Notamacropus eugenii: one gene and its partners. The protein of the gene in region 4 purifies or fractionates together with the protein of the main gene of each other region. This does not show direct contact. Links are inferred from orthologs where the notes say so. Each region holds a gene or a part of one and is shown on either strand. Other genes may lie near its edges.

Region 1 (7,849 bases), on a different chromosome or scaffold from region 4:
TCTGACCTACGCTGTCATCTTCCCAGAATCCTCTCCCTCGTATGCACAGAGATGATCATTGAACCAAGCCTTAAACCCAATTCACTTTGGAGCTCATAGACTGGTCAACAACTTCCCACCCACTTAGTACAGAGTGAATGTAATTACTAAATAGTAACTATTTCTCTTTTACCCAGGAACCCTGAGGGCCTTAACCTCCCAGTTTGAATTTTTTTAAAGGGACCATCCCTTGAGTAACTACTTAAAGAAGCCTCTTCATTGAATGGGTGTATCTCAGTCAAGGTGAGAATGTGATAAGACCTTAGACCTGAAAGGGCCAGGGTCTCCCAGTGCATCCTGGGCCATCTCTAGTCATTCTGATGAATATCAGGCCTCTGGACCCAGATGGCTCAAGAGAAGAAAGTGAGGTTGGTGACATTGCACAACCCTCCCTCAACTCAAATCAAAGTTACCTCAAGTCATGTCATCATCTGGATGTCAGGGTCCTCTTTGAGAAAGAAGGACAAACACAAGCTGTGCATCCAAGTATATTGATGAGATCAAGTGAGAGAGTATAGAGTAAAAAATGGGATTAGGATAGCCTTGGAAGACATTCACAACTAGTGAATGTGATGTTGAAGATCTAACAAAGGACACAGAGAAGTGCTCAGAGAGGCAGAGAGAGATCAAGGGAAGGTTTTGACCAAAAAACCCAAAACAACCCAAAACAACCCAAAACACTCAGTATCCAAGTTGCATGCGGGGGAGGGGAGGCAAGACTAACAAAATTTGTGGAGATGTCAAGCAGGGTGAAGACTGAGAAAAAACAATTCAATTGGCAATTTATGAGATTGTTGGTAATTTTAGAGAAAGTAATTTCAGTTGAATGATGAGTTTGGAAGCTAGATTAGAGGAAAGGAAGTGGAGGAACTGGGGCTAGACAGCCTTTTCAAGTTTAGCTTAGAAGGGGAGGGGAGATACAGGATGACAGATTGCAAAGATAGTAAGGCGTAGTGAAGGGTTTTGAAGGATGAGGAAGATCTGGGAATGTTTGTAGGTGGCATAAAAGGAACTATTAGATAATATTAGATATTAATATAATACTAATATTAGATATTAGATAGACTACATTAGATATACTACAGATACCTATCTAAGTGCCTTCTGGCCATTTTACCTGAAGATACAATAAAAACAAATACAAAAAACTTTTATTAAGCCTTTACTTCATGTAAAGCACTGTGCTAGGTGCTGCAGGTGATTAAAAGTTTAGATACATCATGGTCCCTCCACTCAAGGAGGTATAAAAGGTAAGGGTATAAAATACCAGCACAAAGTTATAATGCACAAAAATAAAAAATTGTTGAGCCAAACATAATGTCCAACAGGAGGAGCTCAGCAAAGGTTTGCTGAATTCCTAATGTCACTTTTGTTAGAAACATGCTGAAACTCAAGTATCAAGGAAAATTTATTAAAGAAGAATCCAGAGGAATTGGATGTTTCTGGCCAGAAGCGGGCTCCACCCTTTTCCAGGAACAGGGAATGCTGAATCTGAAGGGAGAGAAGTTTTATACTGTTAATTCAGAACAAAATCCTCCCATCAGAGGACAGATTGTTCTGTTCTCTTTCAGGTCACAATTTTCCAGACATGCCCACTGTATGTTTTCCCCTAAGCATGTGTAGGCATGTACCCCTCCCTCATCATATGTTCCACGATCAGAAAATGGAGGGATAATTTTGTGTGAGGTGTGTCTGCTTATATGCATGAGGTTTATTAAGCATGCACTATGAAGAAAAGCTTTCTCATGGTCACTGACCCCAACAGGTTTAAACTAGTTTCAGGCTGGGCCCCATTATCAGAAACTTTTTGGTTAGGCTAGCTTCTTCCCCTGAGAGCTGATTGGTTGGTAGTGCTTGTTATCTTACATTACCTTGAAACTGCAACATTTTGTGGAATCCTAACTTATATAAGAATGACTTGTCTTTCTCACACTTTAAGCTCAATAGGCTCTTCCTCCTAACCTTATTTCTATGTGATGACTAGGATAGAGAACCTAGTCACCTAAATTCAAAATGTCATAACTTTATATTTCCTTGAAACCAATTAATGAGTTTCATTGGTTCCTCTACAATATTTCCTATATCTGTTTTTTACTGCACTGCCTTTGGACTTCTTCCCCATACCCTAGGAAGCTCATAATTGGATTAACCTCATCATCATGTTAAGATTTCATCAGCTTTGACATTCCCCTTCATCACTATCCTCTGCCTCTCTGATTGGAGGGTAGGACCATGAATTCCAAACCTCCATTTAACGGGAGACCTCAGCCTAGCTATTTCATTTCTAGCTTGAGACTTCCCTGGTTGACTTCTCCACCACACCTCCATGTTGGATAGTTGCCCCCACCCCATTCAGATTCCTTTTGTGTGTCCTCTTCCTCTTTAGGATTTTAAGTTCCCAGAAGGTAGGGACTTTATTTTTTCATATTTGTTTCCCCAGCTCTTAGCAGGGTGCCAGGCATAATGTTTATTGACTATTCACTTTTAATCCCCACTAACATTCTAATTTTTCCTTATCTTATGCATTATTGTATAGCCTTATAACTCACTTCCATTCTTCGAATCTTTCTACTGCTCCAATCCATCCTTTACGCTACCACTAGTTTTATCTTCCTGGAGACCTTCACCATCTACAGTAGAGTTCTTCTATTTGAAATAACTTTTAACATTTACAAGGCACTTTAAGGTTTGCAAGGTACTTTATGTCTTATTTCATTTGACCTTCACAACAACCCTGTGAGATGAATGCTATTATCTTCATTTTACAGAAGAAACTGAGGCTGATGAGGTTTAAGTGACTTGCCCAGGGGCACCTAGCTAATGTCTGAGGCAGGGTTTGAATTCAGATGTTCTTGACTCCAACTCCATCTTTCTATCTGCTGCACCACTTTTATGTGGGCCATTCTCTAGCCGACTTGTGAGTATCTTTGGCAAGCATAGGTCTTCTTGTTCTATACTCTGATACTAAAAGGATTGTTGAAAAGTTATTTCTGTGGTTGTATTTATCATAGTCTTGTACAATAATATATGCATAGGGGACATATTGGAGGAGAGGGCTACATTTTGCTGTCTGGAATCACTTTTTAAAAAATAAATAATTGGCAAATAAGCTCAATGACACAATTTTATATTTTCTATTACTTCTGTCAGCGGTGCCTGAAGATGTAGGTCTGGTGTAGAAAATACACAAAAAGCTGGTGTTCCCTTTTCATGTTTTTACTCCTAGTAGCCTTGTTGTGCGTCCATGTACTAAAGAAAGTAGAAATTCTCCTTAAGCATTGTTGAGCCCTTAAGCAGAACACTGCCACATATGAAAGATTACAAACTAATTGTTGTAGAACTTACACTCTAGTTGAAGGAAACCACACATACACAGAATTTACAAAGTGTGGCAGCAGCCTTTACCAACTGTTAAAAGGATAGGAGGGCGTGCAGTAAGGAAGTCATCACAAAATGGTCCTCAGAAGTCTTCTAGCCCACATCCCTCATGTGGGATGAACATTTCAGAGATAGGAAGTGACAGTCGGATTTTGCCTCCAGGTCCTGACTCCAAATCCAGGCCTCCTTCCACTGAACCGCACGGATGGTAAGGGTGCAGCCTGGTGCGGGGGCTGATTCTGAAACAAGGGATGCACGCGGGGCGTGTGTCATCATCATACTATTAGTGATAATGACAGCTCTCAGTCCCATGGCACTAGTGAGGCCGGCCAGCAGCACTTTCCGTATGTTCTCTTATTCGATCCTCACGGTCCTGTCAGCGGTCAGCGGGGCGCGGTCATTGTCTCTACGATGCAGAAGGCAGGAGTGAAGCCGACAGAGATAAAGGGACCGGCCCAGGGGACACGGTGACCAACTGTCCGGGGCCAGGTCGCGGGTCCTTCTCGACTCCAAGGCCAACGCTCTCCTTGGCACCATTCACCAGACGGGGCGTCAGCCGCGGCAGAGATGGTGACCTGGAGCGCACAGCCCCACCGGCCTTGTCCTGGCTGGCGCGTGGTGCACCTGGAGACCCGGACGCGCGCGGACAGCACAGGATGCTGGCGTTTGGCGATGGAAGGACTTTGGAAATCGCCCATCGCATTCAGGGGCTTTTAACCTTTTTTGTGTGCTAGGGTTCCTTTGGCAGTCTGGGGTTTTTAGATTCATAAAATACGGAGGATTACCAAAGAAACCAGAAGTTAGTGAAAATAAAGACGTAACGACCGGGGGGAGGGGAGGAAGAGCAAGGGAGGGAGGTGGCCCCCGGCTGGTAGGAGAATCGATCCCGGCGCCGAGACGCAGCCCCGGGGACCCCACGTGGAAGCGGCGCCGCAGGGACCCCAGGCTCGAGATGTCAGGAGGAGGAAAGGTCTCCGTCCAAGACCAAAAAGCACCGGCTTCTAGAGGCCCGCACCCCCGGGAGGCCCCGGGAATTCAATGGCAGAACACACCGCTTCCTTTCGCGCTTCTTCGGTTTCTGGCCGGGGAGGGCCACTTCCGGTACCAGGGGGCTCCGAAAGGCGGGGAGCACGGCTTGCGGCGGCCCCGGCGGAAGTGCGCTAAAGGACCAGTGTCGCTGCTTCCGGTCCGGGTTGAGCGGTTCTCCTGCTGGAAGGCTCTGTGGTTTGCGGGAGCCGGCTGGGGCTGGAGCATCCCGGAGCTAGGGGGGAGGGAGAGAGCGAGGTGGAGAGAACACGCGGGCTCCCAGGCTGATTCGGGGACAGCCCGATGGTGACGCCGGCCACCGATCGCAGGCACAGAAGACAGAGGGAACCCGAGCGCCACCAGGCTCCTGTTTCCAGGGGGGCAGCCTGCACGGGACACCCCCCGCCCCGGTAACGGCCGAGGAGGAGGAGGAGATGGCGCCGGCCAGGGAGCGGCCGTGGCCGAGGCAGTGAGAAGCAGCGAAGCCCGAGGAGCCTGCGCCCCCGCGTGTGAAGAGCAGGAGCCGGCGCCATGGAAGAGACGAAGCCGAGTTTGCAGCTGGTGTACCAGGCTGTGCAAGCGCTCTACCACGACCCGGACCCCAGCGGCAAGGAGCGCGCCTCGTTCTGGCTCGGGGAGCTGCAGCGATCGGTGAGCGGGGGCCGGGGCCGGCCGCGGGGGGCGGGGTGCCGGGTGCTGGAGAGGCCTGCGGCGGGGCCGGAGCCGGCTCGGCGGCCCCGGGGCCTCGTGCAGCCCGAGGGGAGGAGCTGCGGCGCGGGGCGGGGCGCGGCGGCCCAGCCGCGGCTGGTGGAAGTTTCTAAAGAGAAGGGGCAGCCGCCAGCCCGGGGACCCTTCCCCTCCAGGGGCTGCAGAGTCTTGGGCCTGGAGCCCCCTGGGAGCTGAGGCCTTCCCGGGTTCCCGCTCTTCCACTGCCCCGAAGGGACCGGCCGCCCGGTCCCCTGCTGGTCCCTGTCCCATCTCCGTCCCTGTCCAGCACGCCCACTCCTTTCTTTTCTCCGCGTTCCGGTGTCGCAGCCTGGGATTCTTTCCCATCCATTTGCACCCGCGCCCCCATCCTCATTTTCATCCATTAATAGCTCTAAACACCTCTCAGCTCTTTTAGGTCTTTGCATCTGCCAGTTTTGCCCCCTTGTTGTATTCCTTTGCCACCTCCTTGTCTTTTAACTCCGTGTTGGGACTTACTCTTTCTTCCTCACGATCCCCCTTAACTTATGTTGTATAATATCTTTTTTTTCTGAAATGTGGGGAAAACTTTTTAATTCTACTGGAGCCATGAAATTGTTTTTTAACAAATGTGAAAATGCTTTGAAAATGAAAGGATATTGCACTGTATTTGCTTGTCTTTCAAGCACAAATCCTTTTCTGATTTCTGTTGACAACCCTTCTCTTCCCCCCTCCCTCAATTCCTTCCTTTGCTGATTTTTGTACTGTGCCCTTTAAAGCTAACTTGTTTGAGGTCTTAGTGCGTACGAGTTCCGTTTATTTTGGTCAGCTTGCAACTTTGCATTTGAAATAGGGTGGGTGGTTTATTTTTGTATGTTCCTTTGTTTCCAATTCTTGGCTTGCCTGATTTCAAGTAATGAGAAATTTTTATAAGATAGATATTATTACTTGATAATCATAACACAGTTTCTGTGGTCTGGAGAGGGAGAAAAGCCTTTTTGTGGTGCTTTGTTTTAGAGTTTCCTAGCGGTAGTTATTTTTGTAAGATAGATTAAAATTACTTTCATTTTTATAGGAGGGAAGTGCTTGGTTCGAACAGGAAAAAGTGATTTGTTAATTAAAAGGGACTTTCTCAAGGTATATTTCCCAAGCTGTTTCAGTAGTATGTAACAAACTTGAAGTTTGGTCCTAGCACAGTTAGGTTTTTATTCTCTTTGGAGGACAGAGCTTACTTAAACGTTAGTTGTGCTATGAGACCTGTGTCAAGAAGAAACTTTTTAATTTTTTTGTAGAACATAATTTTTTTTCTCCTCACAATCTCAATATGCAGTTGTAATTCCAGCGATCTCTGCCAATTGGTCTCCTTGACAAGCTCAATATGAAGCAGTAGTTAATAGTGGTACAATTTAGATACAGTTGAGCACATTCTGGAATAGGATGCATTCCTTGTGTTGCATATATCAACATCTTTTTCTCCCCCCACCCCCCTTCATTCTTAGAAACATCCTGCTGCAGAGATTATTAGAATTGATGACTTGGAAATTTTCTAAAGGAAGAGAAAACTATATTTCTCTGGTTTGGAGGCTGACTTTTATAGCAATCCTACCTAGCAAGGGTCTGTTATATGGCAGGACTCTATTAAATATGGTGGGAGGGAGATGCCCTAATTTAACTCAGCTAACTCAAACTCTGGGGGGAAGCATTGAATGAAAAGTCATCCCTTCGTTGGATATGTGGAATAACCTAAGTTGTTGAAGACAATAATTTAAATCAAGAAGAAGGGAAGTGTATTTTATAGACTGGAAAACTGTGATAGTTTTGACTGGAATAAGAGCAAATCTGGTTGCTGTACTGTGCACCACGGAAGCAGATGAGCCAGGATAACCTTGGGACAATGATAATTGATTTGGCCTAGATTCTTGGGAATTTTTTTTCCCCATAATAAATGAGGCAGGCTGTGGGATATGTACTCTAGTACTTTTCCTCTTTGGAATTCCCAGTTCCCTGAAATTCTTCTGAAACATCAGGGTTTTCTTTTCCTTTTCCTTTTCAGTCATTGGTTTGACTTGGTAATTTATTCTGAAGACTAGACATTTATTTGGTGTTTTTAAGCTGTCAATCAACATTGCCAGTCAGCTGTCAAACTGTCAATGAACCACATTGACTCCTATCATGTGCAGACATTGCTCAAGGATGAAGATGTGGAGTCCAAAAGAAAGGGCGTCTTTGCCTTCAAGGAGCTTGAGTGTTTTTGGAGAAGACACCATGTATGCACATAAGTAAATACAAAATAACACGTGATATAAACATAAGACAGTGGTGGCACTATGTTTGTGGGTGAAGGCACTGGAAGCTTTGGGAAATGGGGCAAGGCTCCATGTTGGAAGTGGCACTTGGACTGAGCTAAGAAATAAGCTAGAATTGATCTGAGGCTTGGTGGAGGTGAGGAGGCATGGAGAGTCTGTGAAATTACATATGATAGGGGAAGCATCAGGTATGAGAGAGCAGCCGGAGGGCTAGTTTGGGTATGTGAAGTTTGAGAAAGGAAGGAATGGATCAGTTTGGAAAGGTAGGGTAGAACCTTCTAGCGAAGGACTTTCAACATTCAACTTTGATTTTAGAGGTAATAGGGAGCCACTGGAACTTTTTGAGCTGGACAGTGACGTGTTCAGACTCGTGCTTTATGAGTATCATTTTGGTAGCTTTAAGGAGTATGGATTGG
Region 2 (8,377 bases), about 230 Mb from region 4:
CAAGCAGCATGATGTTAAAATATGATTCCTGGCAAGGACAAATCAATGGCTGAAATTTTAAAACTTTCTTGACTTGCAGCTTGCTTATTATCTTTGAAATTCTACTTATTTGCCATAGCCCTCTTCCTCTCAAACAAGTAAGAGGAGGAAGATCTTAGGCTTCAAACTCATAAAAAGTCAGTCTCCGCTTCAGGGTCTTGCTCTAAAAGGCTCAATTTGGAAGACTACAAAAACTGCCTACATTTGAGTTCTAAGTCCTGTGCCCAAGACAATTCAGTCTTCACTTACACCGCACCTTTCCTTCCAAGATTTTAAAAGGCTTAATAAAAACTTTAAGCAAGCTCTTTCTGTATCTACTTTATTGCCCTACCTCTCCACACTAGTAGACAAAACTCAAGAGAGCAAAAAACTTTAATACATTTAATCTGTATCAAACATGGAAATATAAATTATGACTTCTGACCACCATATCTACAGTTTATGGAGCCTCTACATTAGGATGTGTTTTCCTCTAAGAATCTCCCAAGCTTAGTTGTAAAGATAGGTGGAAAGCAGGGGGGTGTAGTGTAAAGAAGGTATTCTAGATTTTGTCAGAAAGACCTACTTCTAAAACTTAGTAGTGTAACCCTGGGCAAATCACTGACCCTCCGAGCCTCAGTTCCCCATCTGTGAAATGAACATAATGCCATATAATCTACATTACAAAGCTGTTATGAAGTTGAAATGAGTGGTTTCAGAAGCGTAGGTAACTGCAAGTAAGAAAATTCCCTTTATCAATAACTGTTTCTGCAACTTAAAGTTTTAGTGAGTTAATTGTTTAGGGAATGGAAAAGTTAAATGATCACATAGCTAGTATATGGTCCAGATGCAGGACTTAAACCCTTAAACTTAAAAGGTCTTTTGGATTTCCAGGCAAATACTTTTTAAGTCTTCTTTTCTACTTCATCCTTTTACTTAATACAAGCCAAGGTTAATAATTGAATCACACTTTATAGTCTTACAAAGTGCTTTCTTTATATGTCTATGAGATTTAGCCTAATTTTATAGATGTGCAAACTGAGCTTTATAGGAGGTTGAATTAAGTAACTTACCCTGGAAGTCCTCAAAGAAAGAAATTCAAGCTTCTAAAGTCATGAAAAAAATACTCCAAATCATTAATAATTAGAGAAATGTATATTAAAGCAAATCTTGAGGTTGTACCTCACTCCCATCAGACAAAGTGGACAAAAAACGAAAATTACAAATGTTTTAAGGGCTATGGTTAAACAGGCACAATGATGCACTGTTGGTGAAGTTGTGAAATAGTGTCTGGAAAGCAATTTGGAACCATGCCCCACCCCCCCAATTGCTAAAATGTATATACTCTTTGACCCAGCAATACTAGGCTTATACCCCAAGGAGATCAAAGAGGAAAAGGTCCTATATGTACAGAAATATTTCCAGTAGTTCTCTTTGGGGTAGCAAAGAACTGAAAACTAAGGGGGTACCCATTAATTACAGAATGGCCAAATAAATTATGGTACATGAAAGTAATGGAATATGCTATGCTAAGTAAGAGAAACCTGGGAAAATGTGCGTAGACCAAGAGGCAGAGCACAGTGAACAGAACAAGATCAATACCCTATAAAATATTATAAAAAGAAACAATTTTGAAAAACTTTAGAACTATGACCAATGCAATGATCAATTATGATTCCAGACGACCAATGATGAGGAATGCTATCCACCTCCTGAAAGAAAGGTGATGGGTTGAATATGAAAAATGAGACATTTTTGGACACGATCATTATGGAAATCTATTTTTCTCAGCTATGCTTATTTGTTACAAGGGGGTTGCTCTTCCTTTTCCTTGGGGCGGATGGGAGTGGGGCGGTGGTCATAACTGAAAAAAATAACATTTATCATCAAGCATGGAAAAAAAAGTAATTTGCCCTGGCATTTACTTCCTACTCTAAATCCAAGCATTCAAGACCCTCTACAGTCTGGATCCAGCCTACCTTTATCCAGCCTTTTCTCATACAACTAACTCTCCTTTGCTCTAGGTTCCATCCTCCCTATCCTTTTCCATCTCAGTTCTTTTACTTAAACCGTTCTCCTAGTCCTGGAATGGAATTTCCCTCTCCATCCTTTCCTAACTCTAATGCCTGCCATCTGTTACTTCCAGTTTATTCTGTAAATAGCTTGTTTGAACAAAGTTGTTTGCCTTTTGTCTCCCCATCAGAACATGAAGCTTCTTGAGAGCAGGTATCGTCATGTGCTTTTCTTCGGATCTCCAGCACTTTGCACAATGCACATGGCAAGTCCTTAAGGATGTTTACTGACTGACATCCCCACCCCCATCTGCTGAAGTCTCTTCTAGAAGGTCCAGCTCAAATGCCACTTGGCCCCTGCTCCCCACCCCCAACCTGTTATCTCTTCTTCGTACTTATGACTCCTTCCCTGGCTTGCTGCTATACAGGTGTCCAGCGCTCCTGCACCAGGCCTCCACAGAAGCTCCTGCCTTTGCAGGCCTGGGTTCGGGTCTCTGGGGTAAATGCTTGCTAATCCCTGGCTGCACTCACGGACCAGGACTCCGCTCGCAAGGCCCAGGGCCAAGTCTGGAGCCAGTCTGGGTCTTTGGGAGGCACATCGAGGGCTCTGGTCCCCTCAGGCAGGCGGCTCCACCGCATTCTCGCAGCACCGTGACCCCTTGGACCCCTCCCCGGAGCTCCTCGGGGCCCCCTCCTCACTCAGGCAGTCACCCTCACTTGGGACCCGACTGTCGGACCAGACAGCGGAACCCGCAGAGGGAAGACACTCAGGGAGGCCTGCCTCCGTCCCTGCCCTGTCACGCACCCCGCCAGGCCGGGGTGGGTTCCCGCGTCTCCTCAGGAGCCCCCGGTCACGGTTTACCCCCCTCCCCGCCCCCTAAGCCCCAGTCCCTCCGTCTCAACAACACTAAAGCCGTCCCTTCCCACGCGAGACTCAGCACTGTAAAAAGAGGCTTGGGGTGCAGGCCTTTCCGCCTCACGTCCCGGCCACGCTCACCTACCTGCACACTTCCACCGAGACCACTCAGCAGCGACCACCCTCTTCAACCGCCGCCAAGGCCTGGCTTTTCCTCGCCTTTGCTTTTTGAATATTTTTGACCCTTCAGGGCTTCCGCTCCCTTTCGTCCGCCGTAGGACCCGCCTTCCCCAAGGTAGATTGGCCTATCTTTTTCGCTCTTCCTCCCCGGCTGCCGCGGAGTGAGCAATGGGAGCTCGGCTCTTCCATACAACAACCTAGAGCCCAGGCAATCTGATTGGACTTTCCACGTTTTAGCGTGAGCATTGGCTAGCTATGGTGAGGGAGGGGCAAAGAGAGAGGCGGGTCACCTGATCATGCTGCCTGGATACGGATTGGTTGACTCTGGAACAGGCCAACGGGGAGTGAGGTGGGTGTTTCCTAGGGGACGGGAGGGAAGGTGGACCTGGGCGTTACGGAGCGGGGGAGGGCTCAACGCGGAATGGCAGTGCCGGGGCTGCGCGTCCATCTTTATCGCCCGTCCGGAGCTGTCACAAAGGAGTCGCCGCGCTGCAGACCGTGGCTCCGTCCCATCGGAGACCACGAAAAGTCAGTCACGGGGGCCCGGCCGCCTGGTTTGCGGGAATCTACAAGGGAAGAAGGAGGGCGGAAGGGGAGACTGGAGGGGCTCCCGTCAGGGAGGGGAGCGGCCCGAGCCGGCCCGGGGGAGGGGCCGCTGGGGAAGCCGAGGGAGGGAGACTGGGGGGCGGGGTGGGGCTTGCCGGGGGCGCAGTGGAATGGGCGGAGGGAAGAGGTACCCAGGGTGCGAGAGGAGAAGGGAAGGAGGGTTCTGGGGAGCCGAAGCTCCTGCAGGTGGGGAGCCGCTGGAGCGGGCAAGGAAGCATTCAAGATTGAGAGCCGGAAAGAATCTTAAAGACAGGTAACAGGATGTTAAGTCACTAGATTTAGAGTCCGAGGACGTGGGTTCGAACTTCATTTTTGCTACTTACTTTCTATATGATCTTGGTCAGGCCTCTTCCCTTCTTTGGGCCTCTATTTCCTTTTCTGTAAAATGATGGAAGGGTTGGACTGGATGCTCTAAGGCGTCTCCAGTTCTAAATTCTATGATGCAACTAATCCAGACTCCCCATTTATTTTGCCAGTAGAAAAACTGAGGCCCTGAGAGGTCTGGAGGGTATTGTCTAAAGGCTACATCGGATTAGTGAGTGGTAAAGCTGGGGCTACCCAGTTCTTCTTCACTGACTAGGATTCTTTCAAGTAAATTTACAGGACTTAGAGCTAGAAATGATCTTAGAAATAAGAGTAATGTGCAATTGTGAAGCACTTTTAAGATTTGTAGAGCATTTTCTTCACAATAGTCTTATGAACTAGGTAGTGCAGCTGTTCATTCCTCCGATGATGGAAACTAAGGCTCAATGAGGTGAAGTTACTTTTGTCCAACTGGGATCTGAACCCAGGGTCTTTTTCTTTGAAATCTGGATTGAGTGCACTTTCCACCAGGCCATGTGTCGCCACATATACTTAATCTAAACCCCTCATACACATATGAGAAAATTGAAGCCCAGAAAAGAGCAATCTTCCCTCTAGGTCATCTGTCTTTCTACTCCATGTTAAAATAGTGAGTAAAATCATCTGTCTTTAGCTTCATTGAGTGTATGATGAGAATGAATGAAATCCTTTCCTGTAGAAAATCTTGTACTTTGAATACTTCAGAGTCAAAGGTTCATAGTTGTCTTGAATATTCAGAAATTTTTGATCTTCTGTATACTGGGAGTTTTGTGATATTTAAAGAAAACACTGGTTTCCTTGCCCTCAATGACATTAAACTAAATGGGATACCTTTAAAATGTGTTTCTCACAGTTTCGTTTAAATATCCATAGTGATGTTTTATTTTTTGCCAAGAGAATGGAAATGTATGTAAAATATACTGTAAGTCTTGAGAAAACTTTTCTAGTCCTTTTTCTTACGTATTCACATCCTTTAGTTCTGTACAGATAACTTTAATGCTTCCTTTTTTAATTGTGATTTTGTCAAGTGATCTCAATATTTATTGAAAAATAATCTTTTAATAATAATAGCTAACATCTATATAGCTATTAGTTCATATCAGGCATCATGCTCAATGCTTTACAATTATCTCAATTTCATCCTCTCAGCAACTGGGAGGTAAGTGTTGTTACAGATGAGGAAACTGAGGCAAACAAATTAAGTGGATTTCCCAGGGCCACATAGCTATTAGGTGTCCAAGGCAAGTTTTGAACTTAGGTCTTCCTGACTGGTGCTGAATTCATTACCCCATCAAGTATCAGGCTGTGGTAATCATTGAGGATACAAAGAATGGCCAAAGACAGTCCCTGCTCTCAAGGAATTCACAGTGTTATTAGGGAGACACTGAAAACAATCAGATACAAACAATATATATAGGATAAATTGGAAATAATACAGAAAAGCTCCTCATAGAAGATGGGAATTTAACTGAGACTTGAAGAAGATCATTCCATGTAAGAGGAATAGCCAGTGAAAAAGCCTGGTTAGGAGATGGAGTGTCTTGAAAGAAACAGCAAGGAGGTCATTGTCACTGAATTACAGAGTACATGGGAGGGAGATTGGTATAAGAAGACTGGAAAGGCAGGAGGCAGCTAGGTTGTGAAGAGTTTTAAAAGCCAAATAGAGAATTTTACATTTAACCCTGATGGTAATATGGGAGCTACTGGTGTTTATTACTTAGTGTATAGTGACATAGTTAGACTTGTATTTTAGAAAGATTAATTTGACTACTGAATGGAGGACTGGATTGCAGTGGTGAGGGACATTTGGCCAGGTTCAGGCTATTGAAGTAGTTCAGATGTTAATGTGATAAGGATCTGGACCTGGGTGGTTGAATTGTCAGAGATAAGGAAGCGAAGCATTATTCTGGAGATATTACTAAGGTGAGATCAACAGACCTTAGCAACAAATTGGATATGGGGGATAAGAGTGAGGAGTCAGGGATGATTCCTTGCTTAAAAGCTTGAATGACTGGGATGATGTAGGTTCCTTCAACAATAATTGGTAAATTTTGGGGGAAGATAACAAGTTCAGTTTTGGACATGCTGAGTCTAATTATATGTATGGGACATCTAGTTCAAGATGTCTAATAGGCAGTTGGAGATTCAAGTCTACACATTTGAAGAAACGTTAGGGCTCAATAAATAGATCTGAGAATTATCACTGTGGAGATGATAATTAAAACCATAGGAGCTGATGAGATCACCTAGTGAAATAGTTTTGGGGGAAAAAAGAAGAGTGCCCAAGGTGGAGCCCTGGTGAGTGAGTGGGAGTGACCTGGCCCAGGAGACTGAAAAGGATCTGGAAGGTAGTTGGAGAACCTGGGTAGAGTAGTGTCATGTAACCTAGAGAGAACAGGTGTATCAAGGAAAATGAAGATTTTATGACTTAAAAACATAGGTATTTGCAAGCAGATCATTGTTTATCCTGCCCACTCTCACTGTTGAATCTCAGAAATTCTACCAACTACTACAGGTTGGTATTTGGTTTAATTGAACAGAAAATTGCATTTTTTTGCACCATATTTTTGTAGCAGCTCACTGTGTGAGATCCTGATCTAATTCACCATTTTCTGAATGTATGATATGTTTATATTCTGCAATCAATGGATATGGTTTTACATTTGTAGGATTATTTATTTTGTAATGTTCAAGATAGTTCTTTCTTTTTTTGAAAATCTGATATTCTGTTAGCTATTTCCACAGAAATACCCTTTAAAAACAACAGCAATATTACAATCATTTATTAGTTTTCTGATTTCCCAGTATAGATATTATCTGGACCTATAGATTAATGTGCTCTAATTCCAGCTTTTTGACTCATTCACAACCTTCTTTATTTCTGGATCTCATAATTATTTTGAAATCATGATGGATTGTAAAAAAGCGTTTCTACATTTTAATGAATTTGATCCTCCCTGTCAACAAATCAAACATTCCTTCAGTAGTTGATATTTAAATTACATATAGAAGTACTATCTATTGCCAAGAGAATCTAATCAAAATAGTGCTTTTTATTCATTTGTCTGTGTATGTTTACAGTGGCCTCAGAGTTGTATGATATATCTTCCATATGATAAAATTAAATAGGTTATTATAAAGAAGTGAAAGGATACTTTGCCATCTTTAAATTGTGATCATCTTGAAATTATTTTGAATATGTTCTTAACCTTATTTTAAACATAGCATTTCAAGTAGTAACACCCAAAATCACATATTGTGGGCGGGTGTGTGATTTTATGATTTTACAATCCTCTGGGGACACTTTTGAAGAAGAATACAGTAGAGTCATTTGCTGTGTTGTGAAATTGAATAGGAATCAAAAGCCAGGTTATACTTGGAATGGAAGGACACTATTACTAGTAAATAGTGGCAAATGTTATTTGGTGATGGTAATAACTTTTGATTTAGTTTCATTCTAATTTCCCAGGGCCAACTATATTAGTCAGTTAGAATGGTTATTTTTGGTACAAAGATTGGAAATTTGATACAAAGTAGTTAGTTATAGAACTAGAACTTGGGCCCTGAAACTTGGACCACAGGCATATACTCAAAATGTATCCTTCAGAAAAAAGAATATTTTACTTTTACCATTAAGGAGAAAGAAAGTAACAATATTAAAATTGTCTTCCCAATTTAGCTGTTGTTGGTCAGTCATCTTTTAGCCTGTAGGTATACTAGATGAGTAGATAAGTTCACAAATATATTTTACTATAACTATTAATATGCCTAAAAGGGAGTACTGCAAAGTGTTGTTTTTTAAGGAGGCTGGTAAATTTTGTTGTCTTTACTTATAAGGTTTTGTAAGTAAAGGAACCATTGTCTACTGAGAATAATTTATAGAAAGAATCCCTTTTACAAGTAATTTTATATTGGTATGAAAGCTGAGAAGAGGAGAAAGACCACAAAGAATTGACCTCACAGGATTAACTGGGGAATAGAACACGTCGCTCTGCAAGCTAAGGGTCAGAATTTTCGTCTTGCTTGAAATTGCATTTGACAGTCTTTAGTTTCTGCTTGCTCCTGTGCAATTTTTTGGGTTTTGTACACTTCAGATATAAAGTTGCAGAACTATTTTTTCTCTTGTTCATCATAACTTCATTGCTTTTCCGTTCATCATTCATGTGTTAAAATAGATATTCTTTTATTAGTGGGAGATATTTTTGGGATATTTTCCATATGTTAAAATTTAGAACATATTCATTAAACAAATGTTTGAATTCTTGTTTTATTCAAGATACTGTGCAAGCATTCACTATTCCCAGGTCTGATTTATTGCATATCACTTTCTAGTGTATTCAACTGAGTATTTTCAGACTTCCTT
Region 3 (8,006 bases), on a different chromosome or scaffold from region 4:
CCACAAAGAGAGCTGCTATAAATATTTTTGTACATGTGGGACCCTTTCCCATTTTTATGATCTCTTGGGGATACAGTCCTAGAAGTGGTATTGCTGGGTCAAAGGGTATAGTGGCTGTTTTCATATAAGTTGTTCTCCGGGTTCTACTCACTTCACTCTCCATGAATTTGTTACAGGTCTTCTCATCAAATGAGATAGCATACATAGGGCACTTTTTGAACTTTAAAGTGGTATGTATCATGTATGCTGTCATTACCATTATTTCCAGGTTTTCCCCAAACCATTCTCTTAATAATTTCTTATGGTACAATAATATTCCATTACCTTCATATTACCATAATTGGTTCAGCTATTTCCCAGGTGATGGGGACTTCTATAGTTAGCAGTTTTCTAGTACAAGAAAAATATGTGGCTATAAATATTTTAGTAGATCTGGGTCTTTCCCCTTTTTCTGTCATCTCTTTGCAATATAAGCCTAGTAGTGTTAAGACCCCCCAATTACTCTGGCAACATATAAAAGTGTAGCAAAAGTTTAAAAGCAATCTGGCAGAAATTAGGCTGACCAACGTCTCATACCATAAATACCACAAAAAACTTCAAATGGATACATGACCTGGATATTTAAAGTCATATCCTAAACAAATTAGAGTGGAGAAAGTGATAGCTTTTGCATCTCTAGAGAGAATTCTTGACCTAAGGACACAGAGGGAAAGAAAGGAAGGAAGGAAGCAAGCAAGTACTTTACCATGTGTCAGGCACCTCCTTAAGTAAGATGCAAAACAACCAAAAACAGTCCCTGACCTCAAGAAGCTTACTTACATTCTAATGGTGAAGGATAAGACAAAAGGGAGCTGAAAAGAGGGGGTGGTGTTTTAAATATATATATACATACATGTGTATATACCTATATCTACATATACATACACATGTATATGCACACATTTACTTACAGGCATAGACACACACCATGGTGGTTGTTCTTTGTTCTTGAAGAAGACCAAGATGACATCAGCACATTGGGGTCAAGGTACAGTGTGTCACACTGCAGCTGATCAGACCAACAATATGAGCTTGGAAGGCTCTACTACAGGTTAGGCACAAAATAGTCTATATGAACACTGTGAGTGAAACTGTCTCTAAATTTGTGCATCTCACATTTCTTCTGAGCTACTGCAAATCTGTTTTGCCCATAGTGCACAGCGCCTTCTTTGATGTGAGCACGACATGCTGGGAGACCCTGTGCCAGTGTCTCCCATGTTTCACAAATGATTCCAAAGTTCTTCAGACAGACCTTGAGAGCATGCTTATATTCTTTATTCTCACCTCCATGTGTGAGGGTCTGCTTGCCTTGTGTGAGCTCTCCATAAACCAGTCTTTTAGACAAAGGTACTTCTGGCATGATAACAACTTGGCCTTCCCACTGGAATTGTGCTCTCTGCAGTAGAATTTGAATACTTGGCAGTTCAACTCTAGAAAGGACTTCAGTGTCCAGTACCTTATCTTGTCAGGCAAGCTTCAGAATATTCCTAAGATAATTCAAATGGGAGTGATTCAGTTGTCTGGCATGGCACTGGTAGACCGTCCAGGTTTCACAAGCATACAACAATGAGGTCAACTCAAGGGCTCTGTAGACTCAGTCTGGTAGGCAACCTAATTCCTCTTCTCTCTCACATTTTCCTTTGGAGCCTCCAAACACTGTGTTAGCTCTAGTAATTTGTGCAACACCCTTATCAATCTATGTGTACATCCCTGGAAAGTATACTGCCAAGATAAGTGAAATTATCCATAGCATTCAAAATTTCTCTATTTGCTGCAAGCAATGGTTTCACTAATGGATGATGTAGTACTGACTGGTAAAGAACTTCCAAGTTTTTTTATGTTTATTGGTATATATACAGGATGTCCCAAAGCTATTTTAAGCTACTAAAGCTTACAATTGCACTTTTGGGGCACTCTTTACATGATAAGATCAAGTATTTACATATAGGGTAGCTAGTTGACACAATGGAATGTGTCATGGAATCATGAAGACTAATCTTTTGTGAGTTCAAATCTGGCCTCTTATACTTACTGGCTGTGTGACCTTAGGCAAGTCACTTAAACCTGTTTGCCTTAGTTTCCTCATCAGTAAAATGAACTAAAGAAGGAAATGGCAAACTTCCAGTATTTTTGCCCCCCAAATCCCAAATGGAATCTTGAAGAATTAGACAGGACTGAACAACAAAACATTTACATAGGGCTTTAACATTTCCAAAGAGCTTTACAAGTATTGTCTCCTTTTATAACAACAACCATTCAGAGATAGGTGCTAGTATTATTCCTATTTTATAAGGGAGGAAACAGGCAGACAGAAGTGAAGTGATTTGCACAGGGGCACACAGCAAGCATCTGAGGTTGGATTTAAATGCTCTAAATCCAGGCTTTATTCACTACTACATAGCTGTCTCATATGTAAATGTAAACGTATAGGAGCTGTCCCAAAAGTTTTGGTACAGTTTAAGCTATTTGTTAACTTATTATTCAATATATTTATTACATAAATATATTTAATACACAATACATTAATGTATTTTAATGTATTTAATATAAAATACATACTAGTATTTAATATCTACACAACATATTTAACATTACTTTAATATATATTATATGTTATAAAAATAGCAATTTATTATTAAGCTTTACAAGCTTAAAACTACCCTTAGGCTTTTGGGACACCGTACATACATATATGTGTCTGTATATCTGTATATCTATATCTCTCTCTATATATAGATACATATATGTATATGTGATATCCTCAAAAATCTTAGTGTAGTTTAAGCCATTTGTTATTAACTTATTGTTTAATATATAATATCGCATGTTCATAAGGAGATGATTTTTCTCTCTAATTTCACCTCTATCCCCTGAGTCCTTCCAGAGTGCCCTCCTCTTGGGGCATGGAGGTGACTACGGGCCCTTTAAGGAGATGTCTGCAGGAGGGAGCACAAACTCTGAGTGAAGGCAGCTTTGGTGTGGCCTCCCTTCCTCTCCTGGGACTGTTGTCCAAGGTCCTGCTGCGATCTGATGCCTCAGGGAGGATGGAAGAGATTGGGCTTTCTGGTGATTCTGCTCTGACATTTTCTGCTATCTTTGGATCATATCTTCAATTCAGAATTGTTTTTTCTTGTTGATATATCTGCATTAAATGTATTTTACATTAAAATACATTTGTATTTTAGGCTGGCTTTCAGTTCTTTCCTACCCAATATAATTAGACCAATGCCAAAAGCTGCCTTTTTTCCTTTGGGTTTACTGGCTACATTTCTTGCTCAAAGATCAAGCCTTAAACCCAATTCGCTCTGGAGCTCACAGACTGGACAACAAGTCCCCACTCACCCAGCAGCACAGAGTGGATGTAATAACTAGGTAGTAATTGTTTCTCTTTTAACCCAGAACCCTGAGGGTCTTCTCCCAGTTTGATTTTTTTTTATTAAAGGGGCCATCCCTTGAGTAACTTCAGGAAACCTATTCATTCAATGGGTGCATCTCACTCAAAGGGAGAACGTGGTATGATCTTAGCCTGAAAGGGCCAGGGTCTCCCAGTGCTTCCTGGGCCATGTCCAGCTGTCCTGGTGAATGTCAGGCCACTGGACCCAGATGGCTCAGGAGGAGAAGTGAGGCTGGTGACTGCACAGCCCTCCCTCCCTCAGACCAGAGTCAACTGCAAGTCATGTCATCACCTTGATGTCCTGGTTCATTTCGAGAACGAAGGGCAAACACAACAACAATCCATATGTTTAATACAGGCTATATGAGTGTATTTAGTGTATAATGTATTACCCAATATTATGATAACACAGTATAAATAATAATTTATTATTAAGCTTCACCAGCTTAAAACGACAATAAGGCTTTGGGGACACGTGCATATATACGTATGTGTGACCTCCTCCAGATCTTAGTGCGCTGTAAGCCATCTGTTATTAAATTATGGTTTAATATATGACGCCAATATATTTAATACCGGAATACGAGTGTCTTTAATATCTGCATAACGCACCATACAATATTACAACAACGTGTCATAGATAATCGCGTTCTACTGAACCTTCCTAGCTTCCTCAGGCTTTCGAGGTTACAGACGCAGAGGCGAGGTCCCACAAGTGCGGTTTAAAGCCATTTATTTTAGTTATCCACTAGGCTGTATCACAGCCATGAGACTGAATACAGAAACAACACGGGAAATTTCAAACAGCTCGTCTTCAATAGGGCAGAGCCGCACTGACACCTCGGAGACGCTTGGGCTGTGTGCAGCCGCGGACACACGCACGCACGGACGCACGCGCACACGCACAAAAGAAGGCACGGACCTCTCCGGGCCGGCTCCCGCTCTGCCCCTCCGCTCCGTCCCTCCAGGGGCAATGATCGCGCCTGAACGCGACTGCGCATGCGCAGCGGGCTCCGGCGGCCCCGGGCTGGGGAGGCCAGACTGCGGCCCCGGAGCTCCTCGGCCTCGTTTCCGGGCGGTGCCGCCGCGACGGGAGCCCGCGAGCTCGCTCTCGCTGCAGCGCGCGCCCTGCAGGCGTGGGAGGAGGCTGGGAAGAGGGAAAGGGGCGGTGGGAGGAGCGAGCGCGGGAGCGAGCGAGCCTGCGTCGTATTCGTCGTCGTCGTCGTCCGGAGAGGAGCTACACGGCGGCAAGATGGCGGATCGCTTCTCCCGCTTCAACGAGGACCGTGACTTCCAGGTAAACAGCGGCCCCGGAGCCGGCGCCGTCCGAGCCCCAGGTTCCCTTCCCAGCACGCCGACTCCCGGAGGCGGCCATGCCGGGTCCTCCGGGACTTCCCCCGTGAGGCCTCGGAGCCGGCGCTCTGTCCTCCCGCCCCCGGCTGCCTGGCGCCCCAGCCTGAGGCGAGGCCGCTACCCCTCCGCCGCGCCCCGGGCTCCCTCCCCTTCCCGGCCCGCAGGCGAGGGCCCGCGTCGGTGTGAGTACGGGGGCTCCCTCCCGGGCCCCCCTTCCTCGGAGCGGGCAGGGGAAGGCGGGCCGAGAAAAAAAAGGGAGGGGGGTGTCCTTCCTAATGCCTTGCCCTCCCAGAAAAATTCTTGATTTTCCTACAGTTTCCATATCCTTACCTGGAAAACGGGTCCGCTGTGCAGGCGTGGGGCCGGGCCTGGCAGGAGCGTTTCGGGTGGGGGCGGGGAGCGTTCCCCACCCCCCTCCCCCTCCGCCGGCCCGTGACTGTTGTTGTTGTGGTCGGTGTGGGGCCGCTAATTGGCCTCCAGAAACACGCGCGTCCTTGGGCAGCCCCGCCGGCCCTGCGGCTGCGGGCGGGGCGAGTCTCTGCCAAGTTGTCCCGACGAACGGATTTATTTGGTTTGATCTTATTTTTAACTTAATTTCCCCAGTTGCAAAGCATGAATCTCGGGGGGGAGATGTCAGTTGGGTAGGATGAAGTCGTTCTGGGTGGGGGTGGGGGAGAAGGAAGAGAAAACTCCTCATCAGAAACCACCCTCCCTTACCTGTTGGGAATTGCCTGGCTCGGGGGTATCAGGCCGCCTTGGGCATCTTGGAGAGTGGAAGGGATTGGGAAGAGGGGGGCGGATTATTATCATTGGGTGGAAAAGTGTGCCCTCGGAGTCTCCCCAAGAACACTGCATTACTGCTGCACACCCTGGCAACTGTCATTTGGGTCAGGGGAAGAACACTGGCACGGAAATGTTCGTGCTGCCAGGTCTTAGAGCGGCCAAGAAATACTGCTAGGGGACGGGGACCAGTGCCTTCCGGGGATTGGGTTGGAAGAAAAGAAGGGGGATTACGGGCCAGCAGGAATTATCGACACTTAGGACAGTCGTCTTCAGGGACCCAGGAAAGGACTTGGGGGTATTGAAAATCCACGTAGTCACGTGCTCTTTGTGAGGCTGCAGCACAAGGTGATTTAGGAGTGTAAAGTTTTGAGATGGTTTTTAATTGATGTCTCTTGGCTAAGAGAAAACCTCACCATGTCCAGATTTTTGGAAAAAAAAATGTTGAGTGCTTTTGGAGTGCTCTTCAGAGGAGAATTCAAGGTGACCTAATCATATTGCAAATTGTCATGCAAGCTGAGCATTGAGGAAAAAGTTTTCTTTAAAGGATGGGTATTTGTGATCGCTAAAGTCCCCGAATCTCAGCAGATCCTTTTTTTCAGAATAGAGAGGACAAACTGTCATGTAAACTTGGTTTTAGTTGTGAAAATTAGCGTGTTATGATTTGAAAAAACTGGGAAAAGGATTCTGTGAAAATAAGATGGTGCTTTTATAATTTAGTCATATTTTATGCTCAATATTTTCATCTTAATCCTGATAAGGTAGATGTGATATTAATTTATCTGGAGACCTCACTATCAATCATCTTTTAAGCTCATTTTCTGCATTTACATTAAAGTCAGCTTTTATTCAGGAGAAAATTTTCCTGTATTCAGTTGTCCTAACAGGTATTGGGAAAATAGGGTGTTGGAACTCACTACACTTTTATTGGTTATTACAATATGCTATTAAAGCTCCATTGAGAGATTTTTGTAAAATATTTATTGCTAAAATTTTGTTTCTTAATAAGAACCTGACAAACATTAGCAGATTTCAACATACAGAGAAGAACAGAAAAGAAGGATATATATGATACTAAACCTAGGTTGCATTCACCTTTTTAAAGTGTGTTTTAAACTTAATGTGAGAGTAACAAAACTGTCTTGCTAGTCTGTGTCTCTGCTCTCTGGCGCATTTAAAAAATTATTTCCCTTCCTCCCTTCTTTCCCTCCCTTTCTCCCTCCCTCCAACCTGTCTGTCACTACCAACTTTCTCCAATAAAAGCTTTCTCCTAACAAATAAGAATAGTAAGGTAAAACAAATCAGCTCATTACTTCTGTCATATCTCTTTCTGAAGCACATTTTGAAAAAATTTGTCTTAAAAGAGGTTTTGAAGAATTGTAGTTTATATTCTCATTACATATTTAGTAAAGGTTTAACTTACCAAAGGAGAACTGAAAATCAATTTTCCATATTTTTAATGGAGAATATTGTTTTTTTACTGTATTTTATTTTTTCCTGTTACATGTAAAACTGTTTAAAATTTATTTTTTAATTTTTAGTTCCAAATTCTCTCCCTCCCCTCTCTTTGACGTAGATTATGCATGTGAATTTGTATGAAACATATTTCCAAATTGGCCATGTTACAGATGAACCCAAAAAGAAACAAAATATACTTAGATCTGCATTCAAACTCCACTTCTTTCTCTGAAGGTAGATGGCACTTTTCATCATTAAAGTCCTTTGGAATTGTCTTGTATTATTGTATTGATCAAAATAGTTAAGTCATTCACAGTTGATCATCTTACGATATTACTGTTACTGATATATAATGTTCCGGTTCTGCTCACTTCAATTTGCATCAATTTATGTTAAGTCCAGGTTTTTCTGAAAGCATCCTCTGTGATATATATTGTATAATAGTAGCCCATTACAATCATATACCACAACTTGTTTGGCTATTCCACAATTGATGGGCATCCCCTCAATTTCCAGATATTTGCCACCACAAACAAGAGCTGCTATAAAATTTTTTGGTACATATAGATCCTTTTTCTTTTTATTTGATCTCTTTGGGGTACAGACTGAATAGTGGTATTGCTGGGTCAAAGGGTAGAAACAGTTTTATAGCCTTTTGGACATAGTTCTAAATAGCTCTTCAGAATGGTTGGATCAGTTGACAATTGATTGGCTTTTATTGATGATGCAATTCTTTGACTTAAGGTTCTTGGAAAAGAGAATGTCCCTAGAAGTAATATAAAAAGTAGCTCTCCTTATAGTGTCATTAAAACATTTTCTATATTTAGGTCAATTAGTGTTCATTGAGAAATGTGGTTTTTCTACTCAACTCCATTTGAGAATGCTGTAAATACTGAGTTTCTGTGAAGGAAACCCTAAGAGAAAAGGAAGAGGTGAATATTGTAGTTTTTAAAACTGTTTAGAAAGTCTTGCAAAAGCCAAA
Region 4 (7,980 bases):
TCCTCACTGCCCAGGCTGGGCAGGACCACTGGGAGGGAGGGTGGCTTAGGCAGGAGGAGATCCTACCTCCACAAAGATAGGGCTATCTCTCTCTCAGCTGCCCACTAAAACCCAGGCTGCTGGGTTTCAACTGCCAAAGTGGCTCTATGGAACTCAAATGACCCAGAACAGAAAAGCAGACAGAGAGAAACCATATGGCAACAGCATACAGAGCCTGTTAGCCTCCCTTTGGCAACACACACCCAAAAGTCTCCTTAAATCTTAGCATCCAAAAGGAATTAATAATGAAAAATAATCATACATATATATGTGTATACACACAGAGAGTATGTGAGTTTGTGTGTGTGTATGTATATTCCTTTCGAAGAGATTTCATTTTAGAGGTAAAAACCTGGTTAGGGGTAGTCTTATTCAGAGGAATACAGAATTTTAAAACTCACTTCCAAAAAAGTGGGTGGAAAGCTGCCCATGGCTCGATCTGACATGAAAGATTTCCAGGTTCACCTCCCTCCAAAAGTCTGCTAGCCTTAAGGCCCATTTCTCAGACTCATTAACACCCCAGGAGGGCCCAACAGATTAAAATACCAAGTTTCTGAGGTGAGCTATGGAATAGAACAGCTTTTAAAAGTACTTCCAAACCTGCTCTAGTTTTCCTACCGCATGCTGAGGAATGGGAAAAGTCAAACCAAGTCCAGATGCCACGCTGTTAAGATGCCAGCTGTCTGTTCAGAGGTACTCAGGGCACAGCCTTCTTGTCAGTTTTCACATGTTGCTGGCATTAGGAAAACTGGGCCAACGAGAACATCTAGCTGAGCCACGGCTAGCACCTGCCCTCTCCCCTCCCCCAGGATCCCCACAGTTATGCTGGAGGGCTGCTGGTGCCACTACTGCTGGCACTTCATCTCCCCCCATCTCTCAAATCCACACCACAGAGGTTGAACATTTTTCTTTTCAAGGGCACTGGAAAACGGGCCAGAGGAAGGAAGATGAAAGGCAGCCAATTCTGCTTTGCCAAAGGGGTTGTCTCTATAAAGTCCTACCCCAGTTCTGCTCTACCCAGGCTGAGTGAGGGGGAGGTCAAACCACATAGTCAAAGGTGAGAAAAGCGGCAAAGCAAAAGATATGAGGTGTTCATACCCCAAGTAAGAAAACACCAGGTTCAAGTCCCGGGCTGCAGCCTCAAGTATCTCTTTCATTTTCAGGACTGGAATTATCACAACAAAAACACTGCTCTTTTCCTCAGCCCAGGACCCAGCTGGGGCCCAGCTGTGAATACTTATCTTACTTTGGGGACTCCCCAGCCTTGCTTTCCTGGAATAGCTGAGATACCTTCACCGGGGTTCTGCAGCATATCTTTCTGTGGGTCACCCCGCCCCCCAACCCACAGTCTCAGTTTCCACGGGCTGCCATACGGTACCAGGCCAGAGCAAGGGGGTGGGCGTGGCGGCATAAGGGAGACCAAGCCAAACATCTGCCGGAGCCCCGGGCACACCTGGCAGTGGGCTCAGCAGGCTAACAACTTGGGTGGGGGGGCCAGCCTGAGGAAAGGGGCACTGGGGAGCGCGGATCTTTCCCACACGTTAATTTCGGAAGGAAGAGGGAAGGTATAATTGTATTTCCAGGGTGAAATGTATCTAGTGGGTGGGATTCCAGGGGCCGCGATATTGGCAAAGGGGCGGGGCATTTTAGCCCGGGTGGCCCATCTGGGAAGGGTGGGGGGGGGCGGTGACGGAGGTGGGGGGGATGGGGGGCAGGGAGGCGAGGCCCCGCATTGATCCGGACGGAGCTCGGATTTTAGGAGGGGGAGGAAGGATTAGGGGCAGAAGAGGGTGGGGATTTTAGGAGAAAACGGAGATTTTCAAAGATAAGTGGACCGGGTTTAGGGCATCCACAATGGGGGAGGGGAGACTTCAGCTGGAGCCACCTTGGGCATGTCCATGGGGGGAGACACGGGGGGAATTAATTTTAAGAGTTTTAGCAGGGGGGCTTGGCCATTTAGGGCGGGGGGCTTTTAAGAGCCTGGGGGGATTTAAGGGGGAGAAAGGAAGGAGTTAACGGCAAATGTTATGGGGGAGTCTAAGGTGGAAGCCTGACGGGGTCAGGGAGTGGGGGAGTAAGGGCGGGGGAGAATCTTGAGGGCGGGGGGCGACTTTAATAGCGGGGCGGATTTGGGTGGAGAAGGGAATGGGGGTGACGGGCAGCGGAGGGAGGACTTTTAAGAACGGAAGGCGACTTCCAGAGGGTGGGACTTTTAGGGCGCGGGAGGGCTTTAAAGGTCGTGGTCTCCCGCCGCCCCCAGGCCCGAGCCGAGGTCCTCGGGAGGGTAGTGTCGAGGTGGGGTCGGAGGGCCCAATAGGGGTTGGCGGGGTCAGGGGTGAGAGGTCAGGAGTAAGGGAGGGCGCCCAAAGGGGGAGGAGCCGCGGCCTCCCGCCATCCCCGCTCGCAACCCACGCACCAGGCCGGAGGGAAGGGCGGAGGAGGGGAAGGGGATGCCGATGACGGCGGGAGGGGGGTGCTCTCACCGTCTCCCGGGCGCTCCAGCTCCAGCTAGGCCCCGCTCCCAGCTCCTGGCGCCTCTTCCGCTTCCGGCTCCGGGCTGCGGCCTCCGCCCGCGGCGGCCCCGCCCCTCCCCTGCCCTGGGCTCCCCTCCCCCCGCCGCAGCTGCGGCCCCGCCCCGCCGGGCCCTGCGTGCCGCCGAGGCCCCGCCCCCTCCGTCCCTTCGTTCGGGCCCCCGAGGCCCCGCCCTCTAATTTCCTGGCCCGCCCTGCGTGCCGACGCCACGGCCCGGTACACACCCCCTCTCGCCTCCTCCCCGCCCCCGCCCCCGCCCCTAGAGTGGCTCCGCAGCGCTTCTTCGCCGCCGCTCTAGGCTGGCATTCGTTGTTCCTGGAGGACTGGCCGGTCCTCCGGCGGCCCGGCTCCCCAAACGTCCGCTCCTGGGCCCACCTCCGTGGCCCTCCCCTCCCCACGTGGCGACATACCTGAGCGGGACTGCGATCCCCACCTGCAGGATCCCCCCAGACACCCCCCAGACCTGGTTGGGTTGTGTGTGACTCATAGCGATTGGAGCCCTTCCCTGCCCTGCCACACAAAGACCCCCCAAGAGGCTTCCGAAGCCACCTCCTTACTAGTTTAAAAGGAATCAGTCCCTTCTTGGGTCGTCAGTCTCCTGGTTGAATACCTGCAAGGATGGGGAGCTCACCATCTCTCAGGGCAGCTGGCTGCACCCACGGAGACAATTGGGGAGCCCTGGGCACCTGCCTGTGCTTCTGCCAAGCCTCTGACTCTTAAGCCTGCTAGGTAAGGCTGCCTCGGGGCCGCCGTTCGGGGACCTCTCCAGACTGACCAGAAGAGGAAGCCAGTTCGGCTCTCTGTCCGGCCCTGAAGACTTGGGGAAACAAGTGGCCTCGCTAACTAAAGGCTCCCCAAGACCCATCCTAGCCCCACACAGGAAGCTAGTCTAGACCAACCCCTCAAGGAGGTGGAAACGGGGCCCAGAACTTTGCCCCGAGCTACACAGTTGCCACCACTCAGTCCTGACTCCAAGCCTAATGGCTCTTCCCACAGCACAACCACTACCTCTCACCAAATACTTGAAGCAGATAAAAGAAAGCACCTGGATTTCAACAAAGATCTCTATAGTTAATCTCTAGCTGAGCAGAACGCCCTCATGTGCCAGCCTGTCCGGTTCACCCACAGCCTTGGCATAACCCACTCCATACACTGATTACACGGGGCCACTTTGTGATGCTGCATTTTCCTACCAGTAGGAATTAGCCCCTCTCTCCTTGTTAGTCCTTCTCATCCTGAAGGACTCAGGCCAAGAAGCCCCAACCACCTTGTCCACAGTGGTGGCTGAGCATAAGAAAGGAGAGAAACACCAACCTTGCCAGGTGCCCCCATCTGGAACTGATCGGGGTGGGGAGAAAGGAGGAAGGATGTTTCCCCTGGTCCAGAAGAGGAGGTGAAAGGAGAAAAGAAATGTTAGAAACTGCTCTAGGCTTGAGGCTGATGTAAAGCCTTGGCCCCAAGAAGCTAAGCCCCCTTTCCTCTGCCACGAAACCCAAAGGCCTCTTACCACTGCCAGAGCAGCTAGCTGTGTGCCAGCTGGAGCCAGTCACCCCTTCATGGAACCTCAGCTGCTGTCTGAGAAATGGGGTTCTTTGTCTGACTGACTCCTCAAATAGGCTTCAGAATGCCAGGGCTTTTGAAAACACATGCAATACTAGCCAAGCCCTGGGTGATTATTCTGTCCTCTGAGTCACCAGCCTGTATCTCATCATCCTGTATGTGTGAGTAGATGAGTGCCTGTGTGTATCTCCCATCTCCAAGCCTTTGCAGAGGCAATCTGCTCTCATCTCTGTCTCTTGGAATCCTTTGTATCCTTTAGCAATCAGCCCAAATGTCCCCTTCCTTTTTCCTGACCCCTTCAGTTGTGGAGTCATTTCTTCCCATGACCCTTGTTTTATACTCTTGCATGGGCTTCACTTTGCTAAGATGATGCAGCAACTCCTGCTGATTCTTCACATATCACAGTGACTAGGGATTGTGCCAATGGGGAACTGTCACTAAGCATCTAGAGAGGGAGGGTCTTCTGGAGGAAACACCGTCCTCAACCGGCTGTAAGAACTGCAGAAAGGCTTCCATCTCCAGGTACCAGGTATTTTCCTGTGCTCTGACACCCTGACATGCTGTCTTTCTGAGGGAGCTGAGTCCTGCCCAGGGAAGAATTGCATCAGGGTGATTTAGTGAAAAAAATAATCCACAAAATTCTGGTCTAGAGATCAGAAGACCTAGATTTGAATCTTTATTCTACCCCTTAGTACGTACTTATCTTTGGTCAAAACCATTTCCTCATCTTTAAAATGGGTATAATAATCCCTGATCTAATTTAAAGGGCCATTCTCCCTTTGTTTTTTCTTATTAATAAGAATATATTTTCTCTCCCATCCCTACCTATTGAACAATAAAGAAAAAAATGCTTGTGATACATATGCAAAGTTAAACAAAACAAATTCCCACATTAGGGCCATGTCCAAAATGCATGTCTCATTCTATATTTCAAGTCCATCCCTTTCTCTGGCAAGATGTCAGGCTTCTTTTTCTGGAACTGCGTTGTCATCAGAGTTTTTAATGCTTGAAGGGCTATTATTTTTCTAAGGAGAGAAGGTGTGAAAATTTTGGTGAGCTGTAAGGCCCTATGCAAATGGCCTGTACAAACATTCCACCCCTCAGCAATAACATTATTTTTATTGTCATTCAAAAATTTGTATTTGGGTCCTGTTTGCCAGAGAGCCTGAGCTAGGAGTTATAAATAGATCTTGTCCCTCCCTTTGGGGGGCTAACAAGGCTGAAACAATGGGCCAGCACCCTTTGAGAGGCGACCTGCCAAGTCTTGATTTATTCATTCTCTCACTCAGAGTATATTTTGATGGGTAGGGAGCAAACAGAGAAGGGTGGTAGATTATGCTCCCCTTGCCTAGAGCACCCCTGCAATATGAAGCATAATGCCAAGAAGGGGAGCCAGGGGGCACTCTACAGAACGTTCAAGAAGTCAACAAGTGTTTAAGTGACTAATATTTGCCAGTCATTATGTTTGGGACTGGGAATACAGAAATAGAAAACAGGGTGACTGGATAGTTGGTGGTGTCCTTAGCAGAAACAGGGAAGTTTGGAGGAAGGATGGTTTGGGGAGTAATCTATAATGAGCTCCATTTTAGACACATAGAGTTTGAACTGATGGGCAGTGTAGCTATGGTCATCTTACAGTTCATAGATATACAGTTGAAAAGAACCTTAGACATCATTTAGTCCAACCCCCTTATTATAGAGATGAAAGAAACTGAGGCCTAGAGAATTAAAATGTGGTGACCAAGGTCACACAGATAGTAGGTGTAAGGATTTGAACCCGTCTTATAACTCCAGAGTCAATGTGCTCTCCACTATACCATTCTTCCTCCCCACTCTAGTTGGCAGTGTGGGACTGGGGCTCAAGAGAGACTTGAGGGCCAAGAGTTATTTGCATGGAGATAATAATTGAACCCATGGGAATAGATTGAGATCATCAAGAGGAAGAGGAAGAGTGTGTACAGAGAGTAGAGAAGAGAGCTGAAGGCAGAGCCTTCAAGGACACTGAAGCTTGTTGTTGGCAAACGGATGATATAGTACAACAAAGGCGATTAAGAAGGAGCCCTCAGACAGGTAGGAGGAAACAAATACAGCAGCCTCCCAAAAGCCAAGAAAGGAGAGAGAATTCAGGAAGAGGGGGAAGGAGTTGACAATGTCAAAAGCTGCAGAGGTTAAGTTAAATGAGAACTAGAGTTGGGGCTTAAAAGATCATTGGTATGACTGTAGCCATGCAAGTGTAGAGAACAACCAAAAAGATTTCTGGAATACTATGATCAATAACATTTCCAAAACATTGTGAAAAAATACACCTTTCTCCCTCTCTCCTTAGGATAGGTGAAGGACTGTGGGCATGGAACATATCTACTATCAAACTAGATTCCTGTATTGGTTAATTTTGATGAACTTTTTTTTTCTTTTTTACTCTTTGTTGCACAACCTATCTTTATGGAGAGGGGAGGAAGGGACATATTTGAAATAAAAGTGATGCTTTAAAAAATATCAATAAAATATGAAACATTTTTAGTTGAGTGACAGGATCTGAAATCAGATTACAAGGGGTTTGACAAGTGACTGGGAAATAAAAACGTAATTACAGCAAAGAATGTAACAATCTTTTCCTGGAACTTGGCTATGGAAGGGAGGAGAGATGGAGGAAGAAAGTTTGAGAGAATTAGAGGGTCAAGTGACAAAATTGTGAGAGTGGGATGGGAGGACCTGGGCATCATTGTAGGTGGCAGGGAAGGAGCCAATGGACCAGAGAGAGGGAATGATCAAGGTGGCAAGCTCCTAGTAGAGACTTGGAAAGAAGGAACCAAGAGCCAAAGTAGCAGAGACCTCTACTTCTCAGGAGAGAATAGAGAATGGGGTAAGGGGGTTATGAGCCATTGATGAGATGGAAACACAGAAGTCATGGTTAGTGGTTGGGTCCTTTGGGGAGGGGGGGAGGAAGAGAGGAAGGGGGGGGGGAGAGAGAGAGAGAGAGAGAGAGAGAGAGAGAGAGAGAGAGAGAGAGAGGAGTGGTTACTATGGATTTGAGAAAAGAAAAAGTTTGGAATAGTTGCTGCGATGAGCCTTAGAAGGAGGCAGTCATGAAAGAACAAAATAAATTGCATCACAACAGGTGGGATGCAATAAAGAATAGATAATATAAATTTTTAGCAGACCTGGTGGACATTGTAGTGTGACATTCTTCAGCAGGACACAAGAATGAGTGGAGATAGATGATGACAATAGTAACCTGGGGGTGGAATTTGTCAAGCTGTGACTGGCACTAACACAAAGGATCTCACAGGGTCGCAGGATTATAGATTTAGAGCTTACAAGTTTTCTGGTCTGAAAGAATTGAGGCTTACATCAGTTAAAGACTTGCCTAAGGTCATACAGAATCAAGATTTGAACCCAGGACCTCTAGTTCCAAATCCAGTATTCTTGTATCTATTTTGTACTATGTCAGAGACAGCAAGGCATAGTAGATCACTCACTTGCTTCAAAGTCAGGAAGACCTGAGTTCAAGGCATAGAAACTCTGGAAAAGTCACTTAACTTTCCAATGCTCTAGACCAGAGGTATTCAAACATGTGAGCCACTGATCCCAGGTAGCCCTAACACTCCTGAGTGTGGCTAGAGCCTGATTAAAATGTAATTAGGAAATATTCAATAAATAAAAAGTACCAATAATATTAGATTTTAAAGCTAAATCAATATGTGGCCTGCAGGGATCCTATATGGATCAGTGGTCCCTGGTTCTATTTGAGTTTGACACCATGGGTCTGTATCAGTGAGCACTCTGACATATGGGGTGGGGGGGTTCTTAGATCTGCATTTATAAAAGGAAAGGCAATTTGAGGGGTCA

What was found.
Region 1: the proteins of CLK3 (region 4) and TNPO3 purify together in Homo sapiens (affinity purification with mass spectrometry; 4 studies listed by BioGRID and IntAct, counting the BioPlex papers as one, with this or other methods). This does not show direct contact. The link is inferred for Notamacropus eugenii from reciprocal best matches to the Homo sapiens genes CLK3 and TNPO3.
Region 2: the proteins of CLK3 (region 4) and PSME3IP1 purify together in Homo sapiens (affinity purification with mass spectrometry; 3 studies listed by BioGRID and IntAct, counting the BioPlex papers as one, with this or other methods). This does not show direct contact. The link is inferred for Notamacropus eugenii from reciprocal best matches to the Homo sapiens genes CLK3 and PSME3IP1.
Region 3: the proteins of CLK3 (region 4) and GPATCH8 purify together in Homo sapiens (affinity purification with mass spectrometry; 3 studies listed by BioGRID and IntAct, counting the BioPlex papers as one, with this or other methods). This does not show direct contact. The link is inferred for Notamacropus eugenii from reciprocal best matches to the Homo sapiens genes CLK3 and GPATCH8.

What each region holds. Positions count from the first base shown.
Region 1 is NC_092874.1:121,048,247-121,056,095, forward strand, and holds the start of TNPO3 (transportin-3), read left to right. Parts: upstream 1-4,588; 5' UTR 4,589-4,974; coding exon 4,975-5,094; intron 5,095-7,849. UniProt on the Homo sapiens protein: Importin, which transports target proteins into the nucleus. Specifically mediates the nuclear import of splicing factor serine/arginine (SR) proteins, such as RBM4, SFRS1 and SFRS2, by recognizing phosphorylated SR domains.
Region 2 is NC_092872.1:474,788,988-474,797,364, forward strand, and holds the start of PSME3IP1 (PSME3-interacting protein), read right to left. Parts: upstream 3,490-8,377; 5' UTR 3,032-3,489; intron 1-3,031. UniProt on the Homo sapiens protein: Promotes the association of the proteasome activator complex subunit PSME3 with the 20S proteasome and regulates its activity.
Region 3 is NC_092873.1:349,475,961-349,483,966, forward strand, and holds the start of GPATCH8 (G patch domain-containing protein 8), read left to right. Parts: upstream 1-4,327; 5' UTR 4,328-4,406; coding exon 4,407-4,730; intron 4,731-5,116; exon of another isoform or gene 5,117-5,207; intron 5,208-8,006.
Region 4 is NC_092872.1:241,552,348-241,560,327, forward strand, and holds the start of CLK3 (dual specificity protein kinase CLK3), read right to left. Parts: upstream 3,476-7,980; 5' UTR 3,206-3,475; coding exon 3,182-3,205; intron 2,629-3,181; exon of another isoform or gene 2,523-2,628; intron 1-2,522. UniProt on the Homo sapiens protein: Dual specificity kinase acting on both serine/threonine and tyrosine-containing substrates. Phosphorylates serine- and arginine-rich (SR) proteins of the spliceosomal complex.